Mus musculus: one gene and its partners. The protein of the gene in region 2 interacts with the protein of the main gene of each other region in a biochemical or structural test. Links are inferred from orthologs where the notes say so. Each region holds a gene or a part of one and is shown on either strand. Other genes may lie near its edges.

Region 1 (3,564 bases), on a different chromosome or scaffold from region 2:
CTGTGACTGCTTTGTGCTATGACGTCAGAGCTGTAGCTGCAAAGGGTTAAACAGCCCACAAAGTCATGTGACGATGCCGTGGCTTCTCTAGATCTGTGGTGCCCTCTGGTTTAGAACTGATTTACAGTTTCACTTCTACCCAGGCTGGCTGTATGCTGTTCTTTCAGCAGACTCCAGGCATTGCTTCTTACATACAGCTCAGCTAACACTCATGGTGCCATTAAAACTGAGTTTGGAGCCTAGGAACGTGGCTATCTGTGAAGAGTTTGCTTAGCATGTAGAGAACCCTGGGCTGGACCCCACACTGCATAACTGGGTGTGTGGCACATGTCTATATCATCATCTGGGAGGGAGATAGAGGCAGGAGTAACAGAGGTTAAAGGTCATCCTCCATCCTTGGCTGGGCTACAGAACCTGCCCCATAAAGAAACAAACCGTCACAACAAAAAGACCATTTGGAAATTCATGGTTCAGCTTAGTACTCCTGAGGAAGAAAGGAAGAAATGACCCTCTTGTGCTGGAAGGCAGAGCGGCAACTGCCAGGACAGTGCAGCACTGGCCCCGAAAGTGAGAGGACATGATGAAGCCAGGAGAGCCCAGGCACAAACAGCCACTGTCAGTTACCCAGGCTCCTGCTGCACGCTGGGGCTCCGGAGGAACTTCAGATGCGACCTTGAGTCCCTGCAGCTCTTCATAGGGCAGCGTGTCCTTCTCAGACTGTGAAAACGCCGCACTTAAGGGAGCGGGGCTGTCAGGCATGGGAATGAACTCTGCGTTTTCCAGCTCCTAGGCAGACAAGAAAGAATCTCACCAGTTTGGCTGCAGCAAGTTCCTTTCTCCCACGGTCTTTGTAGCTTTCACTTTCACGCTGCTGTGACAGCAGCGCCCTCTAGTGGTACAGAATGGTGGCTGACCACATATATTGCCTAACCTGGAACCAAACTTCAGCGATGCTAGCTCAAGTTCAGCAAGTTGTATCTGGTTCATTTCCCAACACAATTCTACACACACTGTCTGCTGGTCAGGAAGCTTGACGGCAAGGCACTGAGGCCTCCTTCCAGGCTGCCTTTAGTCCCAGCACTTGGGAAACAGAGACAAGTGGAACTCTTTGAGTTCTAAGCCTGCCAGGACTACAAACTGAGACCCCGTTTTAAAACAAAACACAGATGTCTTCACGGGTGGGAAAGTGAAGCCTTGACTCCTGTCTCAATTAGTAGGGCACTAGAAACTGAGACCTTGGCAGCCCTCACTAGCTCCTGTCACAGGCTTATCTGAAGCATCTGTTCTGAGGGCATTACCTTCCGAAGCCAGCCAGGACAGGAGCTGCTAGCCCCACAGCTGTTTCCCACGGCCTCCGTGGGACTGATTAAGCCTTCCATCCCACGGTCTGCTTCCATTGTTCCTCGGAAGCCTCCGCTTGGATCTGGAGTTTCAGATTCCTGTTGACTGTCTTCCTCTTCACCCCCGCCGCCGCCGCCACCACCACCACCACCACCAATGCCACCTCCTGGGCTGGAGCTCTGAACCACTGGTAGATGTGTAGCATAGGAAAGAAAGAGCTTCGTTAGGCCACAGAGATTTAGCATCTGACACCTCATTCACCCCCACAGAAGGTCCTAGAATTGCACAAAGTGGAACGTTCAAACAAATATTTGAGACTAAATTGTTTTTACATAGATAGCATTTGAATTTGTAAAAATTATTCTAAAAAGATTTTTTAAAAAAAATTTTATGGGTATGGGTGGTTTCAGCTGCATGTATGTCTGGTACCATGCACATGCATTGCCCTTGGAGGCCAGAAGAAGGTGTCAGATCCTCTGCAACTGGAGTTACAGATGGTTGTCAGCAGTCATTTGAGTGCTAGGAACCAAACCCCAGTTCTCTGTAAAAGCAACAGGCACTCTTAACTGCTGGATTGTTTTTCCAGCTCCACAGTATTTTTAAGTTATCACATTGATTTATTATGTGTGTGGATGTGGGCATGTGTGTATACACTGTACTGTAAAGGTTAATTCTCTTTTTCTATCACGTGAGTCCCAGGACTGAACTCAAATTGTCATGATGGCAGTATAAGCCTTTCATCATGAGCCATCTTATGGGCCTACATTTTTTCTTCCTCTTCTCTCTCTCTTCTCTCTCTCTCTCTCTCTCTCTCTCTCTCTCTCTCTCTCTCTCTCTCTCTCTCCTTATTTTGGCTTTTTGAGACAAAGTTTCTTTGTGTAGCCCTAGCTGTACTGGGACTTGCTCTGAAGATCCGGCTGGCCTCTGGAACTCAGAAATCCGCCTGCCTCTGCCTTCCAAGTGCTGGGATCAAAGGTGTGCGCCACCAACACCCAGTTTACAAATTTTAATTCTTGAGACAGGAAGGATCCTCATGCCACCCAGGCTGGCCTTGAACCTCTGACCTTACTACTGCACTTATTTCTACTTCTTAGTGCTAGGATGATAAGCATGTGCCACCATGCCAGGCTTACATAAAGGTATGTGTTACAATCACCAGAATTCATGTCTATTTTCTAAATCTTAGTGCATCTCTGGCAGGTAAATACATTGAAGTGTCCTCCACTAGTATTTGTCTTATGTAAAAAGTTGTTCAGCATTGAGCCAAGCACCCCTTAAGTCTCCCCAAAATAAGAAGATGGATTCTGAAATAATGGCACATCCATGACTTCTCACAGGTGGAAAGCTACCAGAGGGTTTAGGCTGATTTTCCTAAGTTGAAAGCTAGTAACTGACTTTTCCTTCAGAGGGCCTATTTTGAAGGTAAATTTTGTTTGGTTTTTGAAGACAGGGTCTTACTATGCACCATCTGACCTCAAACTCACAGAAATCCACTTGCTTCTGCCTCCCAAGTGCTATAGAAAGACTAGACTGCCTGGAATACTATGGAAGTAAAGGCTCATGGGATGGTAAGGAATACAAATGTCCCATTACAATGTGGAACAAGTCTCTTAACTGTATCACAAGTATGTGATGCAGGCAAGAAGATGAAGTCACCCTGATAACAATGCCAAAACCTCAACACTCACCAAAATACAACCTTTCCTCTCAACCCAAAGACCAAGCTGGTCCCTGGGGCTCCACTGCTTACCAGTTCCGATGGACAGGCCACTGCTATTGGAACGGATGGTCTTGGAATTCAACACTTTCTCTGAGGAAAAATGTGCAGTAGGTAAGCACTTTGTACAGACACTGGGAGGAAGGGTGAAGAAGACGGGTCAGGGAAGAAACTGTCCCTGTCATTCCTGACCCTCAGTAACTCAGAACTCACTATTTAGAAGTCAGTCTCGTAAGTGAAACGCTATTGAGCTACTGTGCTCAGTGCTGCACTGGGAATTCTCTATCTCTGTGCTCACCAGAAGCAGCACGGAAGCTGTACAAGGTAGCAATACCTACACCTGGCCCCAGAGATCCTGATTAAACTAGTCAAGGGCAGTGCAGGACTAAGGTTTATAAAAGCCATGCTTTTATCATGAATTTCAAAGTACTCTGTATGCAAAAAGCATTTGGAAATTTTCTTTTAAAAGAATTACTAAACGTTTCTCAAGAAAACACAAATGTAGA
Region 2 (4,266 bases):
AGGAAAGGCTGACTTGGACTGGGTGGTAGTGGTGCACACCTTCAATCCCAATGCTCTGGAGGCAGAGGCAGGCAGAACTCTGTGAGTTAGAAACCAGCCTGGTCTACAGAGTGAGCTCCAGAACAGCCAGGGCTACACAGAAAGACTATGTCTCAAAAAACAAAACAAAACAAAACAAAACAAAACAAACAAAAACAAAAACAAAAACAAGCTGGGCTTGGAAGCGCAAGCCTTTAATCCCAGCACTTGGGAGGCAGAGGCAGGTGGATTTCTGAGTTCGAGGCCAGCCTGGTCTACAAAGTGAGTTCCAGGACAGCCAGGGCTTTACAGAGAAACCCTGTCTCTGAAAAAAAAAAAAAAAAAAAGAAAGAAAGAAAGAAAGAAAGAAAGAAAGAAAGAAAGAAAGAAAGAAAGAAAGAAAGAAAAAGGCTGACCTCACTGCCCGGTGTGGTGGCACACGCCTTTAATCCCAGCACTCGGGAGGCAGAGGCAGACGGATTTCTGAGTTCAAGGCCAGCCTGGTCTACAAAGTGAGTTCTAGGACAGCCAGGGCTATACAAAGAAACCCTGTCTCAAAAAAACAAAAAACAAACAAAAAAAAAAGAGGCTGACCTCAAACTCACTATACTATGTAGTCAACAACTTCCAACTTGATACTGCTGCCTCGGCCTCTACCTTCCTCTGCTTCCACAGTGCTGGGACTGAAGCTGTGCATGATCATGCCCCACGTTCAGTGGTTTTGAGGGTTTTTAATTTGGGGATTTTTATTTTTGATTGTTTTATTTTTATTTTTATTTATTTATTTATTATTTTTTTTTTTGAGACAGGGTCTCACTACTAAGTATCTCTGACTAATCAGGATAGACTCAAACTCAAAAGAGACCCACCAGCCTCTGACTCCTGGATGATCGGATTAAAACTGTGTGCAGAAACAGCTGTGCTTTGGATTTAAAGGATCAAAGGTATGTGTCACCATTCAGGATGAGGACTTATAACAACTCTAACACCAGCACTCAAGAGGCATAAGCAGGAAGCTCTCTGAGTCTGAGGTCAGCCTGGTCTGTGTGTCAAGTTTAGGGCAGTGGTGGCGCACACCTTTTGTTAAGCCCAGCCCTAGGGAGGCAGAAACAAGTGGGTCTCTGGGAGTTTAGAGGCCAACCTGGTCTACAGAGGGGATTCCAGGACAGCCAGGATTATACAGAGAAGCCCTGTCTCCTAAAGAAAACGAACAGAAAGTAACAACAACAACCACCACTCCTCAAACGCAATCTATTCTTTGACATCTGGGACTCTTGGAGAGACTCACTTAGGTAGTAAGTCCCAGTCAGAACAACTCCACCAGTTCATACTCCTCCCTATTCTCAGCGCTAGTAAGATCCCACGGCAGGGCTGTACTGACATTTTAAAGTTAGCCAGCAGCGACCGCTGGCCTTTACTTTCCTCTCCAAACACTACCGTTCCTTCCAAGGTACTGTACCTGGTACAGCTGACCCATCGTGGCACTGGTGGGTGGAATGACATTGTTGACAAAGAAAAACAAGGCATCTTCAGCACGGAGATGAATTCGCTTCCGGATCAAGAAGTAGAATTGACCAACTGCCAAAAACAGGAGATGCAAGCAAGTCACAGAGGTCGTAGGCGCCTCCAGAGAACAGCTGCCAGGTGAAGCCTCCTCCCACAGAGTTGGCAGGCCCACCCACAGAAAGAAACGTGCACCACAGGTCAAGCCCTCACCTGTAAGATCAGAAGGCACCAGGTATTTCTTTTTGTCCAGGTCTCCTATCCGAGCTTTGGGGGCTTTTTCCACTATCACCTGATAAAAGGTAAGAATGAGAAAAATGAATATATATATATATATATATACATACATACACATATATATGCTGCTATATCGATGAAGAACTCAACATACAATATTCCCTTTTACTGAAACCTACTGGAATCTCATTTCTCTAGTTATCCTTATATACGTGGTGCACACAGCATTAGGTCCAAAGCTCCTGGCCTCACTCTTACCTAAATATTGAGAACTGATCCTAGAACGGCGCATCACAATAACTATTTTCACCAGAGAATACAGGATGACTTGTTTGGGTCAAAAATCTACATTAAATCTAGCTAGTTGGGAGGATGGCCATGGAAACTCTGGGTTGTCAAGCTCACTAAGGCCTCTATTCTGAGAAATACCCTGATCTCTCTCTCCCGTCCACATCTTAGTCCCCAGCTCTACTTCAGGTGAGAGACCTCTGGTACCAGAGACAACAGAGTTCTAACCCCACGACAGACAGAGCCTGACTTCAGCTTTCCCAGACTCAAGCATAGCCTGTGGCGACAGCGTCAGCGACGCTAGCCTGGGCCCTGGCTACTGTCCTTACCGGGACCCGGTCTGGGTATTTCTTTCGGATTTTCTCGCCCTCAGAGCGGCGCTTCTCGAACGGATGCTCCTCTTTGTACACGAACTTCATTCTCCCGAGAACCGGGCTGGACCGAGCTGGGCTGAGGGAACCCAGGGGGGGGGCCGGGACAGGGGGCGGCGGCGGAGGCGGCTTCGACGAACAGACTTGGCGGAGCGATCCACGAATTTGCGCCACTTCCCTATTCATCAACCCCGCCCCCGACCATCGGACCGGCCCCGCCTGCTAACATACGCCACTAGCTCAGCTTGCTAGCGCAACCCGTAGCCTGGTCCTCTTACGCCTTCAGCGTAACTGCTTTGGAATCAACTTGTGGGTTACACATATGACATCGCAGATAAGGTTGCTGTTGTTTCGAGTGAACTGAAAAACCCTTTCCCACAGTACAAAGTTGAGGACGAAACTGGTACCCAGTGGCAGTCATGAGATTTAGTTCTGCAGTTCTCGGAAATTACGTTGGGGAAAGGCAGACAATTACAAGTCTAGGATTTCATGAGACGTGTTTCTACGCTGAAGGTGGCCGTTGACACCAAAACAAAGTAGTACCCAAGCTGTGGATATGGACACCATAAGACAGAAAGGAAAGAGGTTTGCAGACACCCAGGGAATGCTCAAGGCTCAGGCTTATGTGAACCAAGAGAAACTGCAAAAGCCCCAAAGATAAGGACTACACCAGAGCGGAGGAACACATTTCTGAGTGTAGATAAAATCATGTGACCTCAGAAAAGGGCGGAGAATCACGTGGCGGGTGGCGAAAAGTAGTCCCGGCTCTGGAGAGGAGGTGCCAGGAAAGAGGGTTCCGCCCCAGGTTACTGCTGGAGTGCCAACACCTCGTAGGCAGCGCCCTCTTAGCCTGTCCACGTCAACTTCCCAGACAAGCCCAGCCTTTCTCCAGCTGTATGCCCTTCCAGGGTTCTAGAGTTTTCCCTCTTTAGCCTTCTATATCCTACTTTAAAGTTGTTGGTCCACTGTCCATCAGGGACTCCATCCAGTCAGTGGGGCCTTTCCTGCCGAACACTGAACATAAACTACTTTATCCCTGTGCTAAATCCCACTTCCCCCCAACTCCAAACAGCATCTTCTCCCTCTGCTTCAAGGACAGAGCAGATGTCAACAAAGTTCCCTCCATTTCCAAAAACATCAGAGAAGGGTCTAGGGCAGCTTTGGTTTCAAAGTTATAATGCATGGTTTAAAAGAGGAAAGAAGAAAGGAGCCGATTACAGGTATGGGGGATTGGGGAAAGAAAAAAAATGAGGAAAAGTAAGGGGGGGACAAGTCTGAGGAGGATCCAGTGGCCCGAAACCCCAGTCCCCACCCACAGCCCAGCCCTTGGAGCAGGAGTGAAGAATTAGATCAGTTTTGTATAAGAGTTTTTAAAAAAATCAAATCACAACAAAGTTGAATTGGCTTCTTTTGAGCCTCTGGGATATGTCTGTCACTCTGGCCAGTCCTGCCTCTTCACCAGACTGTTTCGGCTCCTCTAGGCCTTCGCCTGTCCCAGTCTGGCATTTCCACGGAGTGTGAACCCAGAGTGAGGCTGCTTCACGGTCTGGCCCATGTGTCCATCCAGACTCCATAAGTGGAGTGTAGGGCTCCCAGGGCAGAGGGGTGGGAGGGGCAGACTCTGCCCAGGCAGTCCTCACATTGGACAGGGCAACAGACGGTGTCCCAAGAACTCTCCCTCCCTTTCCCCTCCACCCCAACTCAGGTGGAGGGGGAGCAGCTGTCACCAGAGCCTATGTTGGTGAAGGTTTCGGCTCAGCACCGATCGGACATCAGCAGTGAACCTGAAATGACAGTAACTGGTGTTGGTGAAATACCTTATAGTTGACACCCTCACAACACTAGCACA
Region 3 (3,564 bases), on a different chromosome or scaffold from region 2:
TCACTGGAGAGAACCATGAACCTCCATGGGCCCATGAAGATGTTGCTTTGAGTCTGAGCTCTGCCACTTAGTTCCTGAATTTTCCAACCTGCACCCCACCCCCAGCCATCTTTCCAGTCAGTGTTTTGGCCACTCTGGGAAAGCTGATGTTTTCACACTTGCCTGTGGCCAGTGGCATGCAGAGCATTGAGATGCGGTTTTCATCCTTTGCCTTCTGTGGAAGGTAAATCTCTGGCTGTGCGGCTCCTGTGACTCTGAGTTCCATCCTCAGTGACACACACACTCATGTACACACACACACACACACACAGACACATGTACACACAGAGACACACAGACACATGTGCACACACATTCACAGACAGATACATAGAAACATGCACAGACAGATAGATACACACACACACACACACACACACACACGGCTCAGGGGAATTGGAGAAGGTGCAGAGCAGAGCCCAGGTATTTGAGGAAAAGAGTGGTAGCACTGTGCAAAGAGGAATTCCTATAATGTAACTGATGTAAGTGGGGTCATTGCTTCCCCAGAATGCCAGAGGGTTCAACATGAGCATCCCCATGCCAGGACACCCTGTGAACTTCTCTGACGTCACGATGGAGCAGGCCCGCAGAGATGTGGAGCAGCTGGAGCAGCTCATTGATAACCATGATGTCATCTTCCTGCTAATGGACACCAGGGAGAGCCGGTGGCTTCCTACTGTTATTGCAGCCAGCAAGCGAAAGGTGGAGTGTGTCTTATGCTACCTCTGTCTGGAACTTAATGAGCCACCCAGGAAAGACGTGTCCACAGCCCACCATCCCCCAGGAAGGAGGGTGACCTGTGTGGCCCTGGAGCTCTTTACTTCCTGCCATCAACCTGCAATGGGTGTGCTTCCTAACCCAGCAGTCCTTTGCAAGTGCTAACGTTGGTACATGTGAAGTTCAAGGGCCTGTGATACTTAATTAAGTTTATATAGCCATTCTCAGGAAGCTTTTCAAAGAATGGTAATAAGAAAATGCCATATTACAAGATAAAATAGAATATGAATGTTATGTTACACTTGTATATAATAACATGCATGTCTGCCTTTACCGCCATCACCCCTCATCTGTCTGTCGGTCATTTATCATCCACCTTCTGTCTATCATGTACGACGCAAAGGACAAAGCAGGAAGGGGAGAGGAGGTACAAAAGGTAATACCTCAGAGTTTCTAGACCCCCAGAGCTGCGGTTTTAATTTTCTCTTCTCCAGTGTGCCTTTTCTTGATTCTTTCAAACTTTGTATATAACCAAAAATTTGGGAGAACGACTTAAATCCTAACCAAGAGGAATTCTTAAAGTACAAAGGAGGCTTCCCTTTAAAATCCACATGGTAAGCCAGTTGGTGGTAGTGCATGCACGCCTTTTATCCCAGCACTTGGGAGGCAGGGGCAGGCAGATCTCTGAGTTTGAGGCCAGCCTGGCCTATAGAGTGAGTTCCAGGGCAGCCAGGGCTACACAGAGAAACCCTGTCTCGAAAAAAAGGAAAGAAAAACTCCACATGGTGGGAAAATCATAGCTTACAAACCGTGACCCAGTGAAGCTTTCCAAGGAACTAAGAGGGTGTGGCAGAGTGGTGTGGGCAACCACCAACTTCTGGTCATAGTTCCCTCCTATCAGCTCTATAATCCTGGGACACAGGTGGAACTCTGACCGTTGACATACTCATCTATAAACTGACAATATTTGTAAAGGGTTTAAATGAGATGGTTTATCTTAGCAGTTTATCAAGTCTCTTGCATGTTTCATATGGCTATTAAAGATTAGTTACACTCACATGAAAAAAGAAAGCAATGTGAAGGTAGCCAGCCACATGTGAACTTTGCCTTGGCCTGAGATGTGTTTGTCCTGACTCCTTTTTCTTCCTTCACTGCTAACAGCTGGTCATCAACGCTGCCTTGGGGTTTGATACCTTTGTTGTCATGAGACATGGCCTGAAGAAACCCAAGCAGCAGGGAGCCGGAGACCTCTGCCCAAGCCATCTTGTAGCACCTGCTGACCTGGGCTCCTCACTTTTTGCCAACATCCCTGGATACAAGCTTGGCTGCTACTTCTGCAATGATGTGGTGGCTCCAGGAGATGTAAGTCGGGCTCTGTGTTCCTGCCCTGGCTACACAGTGCTGGTTAAAGACTGTCTAATAAAGAGCATTCTCTAGTTGTGGGGAGGGGAACTGTCCCACTATGAGCCATGTTGGCACTCTTACCTGAATGGCTGAGCCACAGTCACTGCATAAATGTGGCCACAGCCTGTGACAAGCTGATTGAGGAATCTTCCGTGTAGCCAGCCCCCTTGTAGTCTTGCATGCCGTCCTCCGATGATCCAGAGGCCTCCTTTTCCCTGTCACTCTGCAGACAGGGCAGGGCACGGGCTTGTCACACTGTCTGCAGACTGAATTTCAGGTAAACAGCAAGTGTTCTTTTGGGGGTTTTTGTTTGTTTGGTTGGTTGGTTGGTTTTGATTTTTTTTTTTAAATACATAGATAGCCCTTTACAGTAGTCAAGAGCTGCTTGGAAAAAAAATTCTTGTTTATCTGAAATTGACCTATTAACTGTGCCTAGTGTATTTTTATCTGACGATCTAGACAAGGAACCCCCACCCCCATTCTGAGCATGCTCACTGATGGGCCAGTGGAATGTGAGGCAGTCAGCAGTGCCTCTAGCTGGGTTCTGCAGCCTAGTGAGCTTGCAGGAATAGGCCTCTCTCAGGGCTCAGCGGCAGACCTGCTCTGTGAACTGCCCTGTTTCCCCTTCTGCTGTTTCTCTCTCTGGAATGACTGGCTTCTCCCACCATAGAGAAAAGCTGCTATCTCCTTTGGTGTGAGGAAGGAGGCTTAATGATCTTCATAAGGTGCTAGAACATGCAGGTGTCCTATTGGTCAGTGGGTGCCATCCAACAGGGTTGAGCCCCCAAGCAGGGCAGCCATGTCTTTTCATTACATTGAAGTTTTTATAGCATTAAACAACCCTGGGATTTGCCCCTGTTTGGAAGATTAGGAGTAACAGCTTGTGCATGTAGCCAGGTAGTAACAGATGCTTGCAGCTTTGTACTGAAGTCCTCAGAGCACAGCCAGGGTAATGAGGCAGTGCACAGGAACAGAGGACAGAGGGTAGAGATTGTGGCTCCTGCCCCAGTCAGGGTCACTCTGAGCCACTACCTCAGGCAGGACAGTTATCAGCCATTCGTGATTGTTTCTCCCTGTGACTCTGTCTGCAGTACAAGAGAGGTGATGGATTCCAGTTGAGGAGCCATGGCTCAGAGCCACCATGAAGCCATGCTGATGGCTAATGTCTCATCTCTGTCTCTTTACAGTGCACATCCTGTTCCAAGTAGTGCCTTGTTTAATTACACACTGTTTTCTCCCAAGACAAGACAGGGTGAATTTTAAAGCTTTATCTTAGGGAGTTTCAGGTTCACCTAGGTCTGGCTGAATTAGAATATTCTATGCATGTCTGTGGTTGCTTCTCTTTAGTCAACCAGAGACCGGACTCTGGACCAGCAGTGCACAGTGAGCCGCCCAGGCCTGGCC

What was found. The genes of interacting proteins can lie anywhere in the genome.
Region 1: the proteins of Gabarap (region 2) and Nek9 form a complex in vitro, tested with the Homo sapiens proteins (2 studies listed by BioGRID and IntAct, with this or other methods). The link is inferred for Mus musculus from reciprocal best matches to the Homo sapiens genes GABARAP and NEK9.
Region 3: the proteins of Gabarap (region 2) and Atg7 form a complex in vitro, tested with the Homo sapiens proteins (2 studies listed by BioGRID and IntAct, with this or other methods). The link is inferred for Mus musculus from reciprocal best matches to the Homo sapiens genes GABARAP and ATG7.

What each region holds. Positions count from the first base shown.
Region 1 is NC_000078.6:85,304,839-85,308,402, forward strand, and holds part of Nek9 (serine/threonine-protein kinase Nek9), read right to left. Parts: intron 3,152-3,564; coding exon 3,092-3,151; intron 1,529-3,091; coding exon 1,299-1,528; intron 787-1,298; coding exon 625-786; intron 1-624.
Region 2 is NC_000077.6:69,989,912-69,994,177, reverse strand, and holds the start of Gabarap (gamma-aminobutyric acid receptor-associated protein), read right to left. Parts: upstream 2,809-4,266; 5' UTR 2,466-2,808; coding exon 2,376-2,465; intron 1,814-2,375; coding exon 1,735-1,813; intron 1,597-1,734; coding exon 1,478-1,596; intron 1-1,477. Other genes in the region: Ctdnep1 (CTD nuclear envelope phosphatase 1), read right to left, coding at 4,141-4,201. UniProt on the Homo sapiens protein: Ubiquitin-like modifier that plays a role in intracellular transport of GABA(A) receptors and its interaction with the cytoskeleton.
Region 3 is NC_000072.6:114,705,587-114,709,150, forward strand, and holds part of Atg7 (ubiquitin-like modifier-activating enzyme ATG7), read left to right. Parts: intron 1-546; coding exon 547-741; intron 742-1,917; coding exon 1,918-2,118; intron 2,119-3,507; coding exon 3,508-3,564. UniProt on the Homo sapiens protein: E1-like activating enzyme involved in the 2 ubiquitin-like systems required for cytoplasm to vacuole transport (Cvt) and autophagy.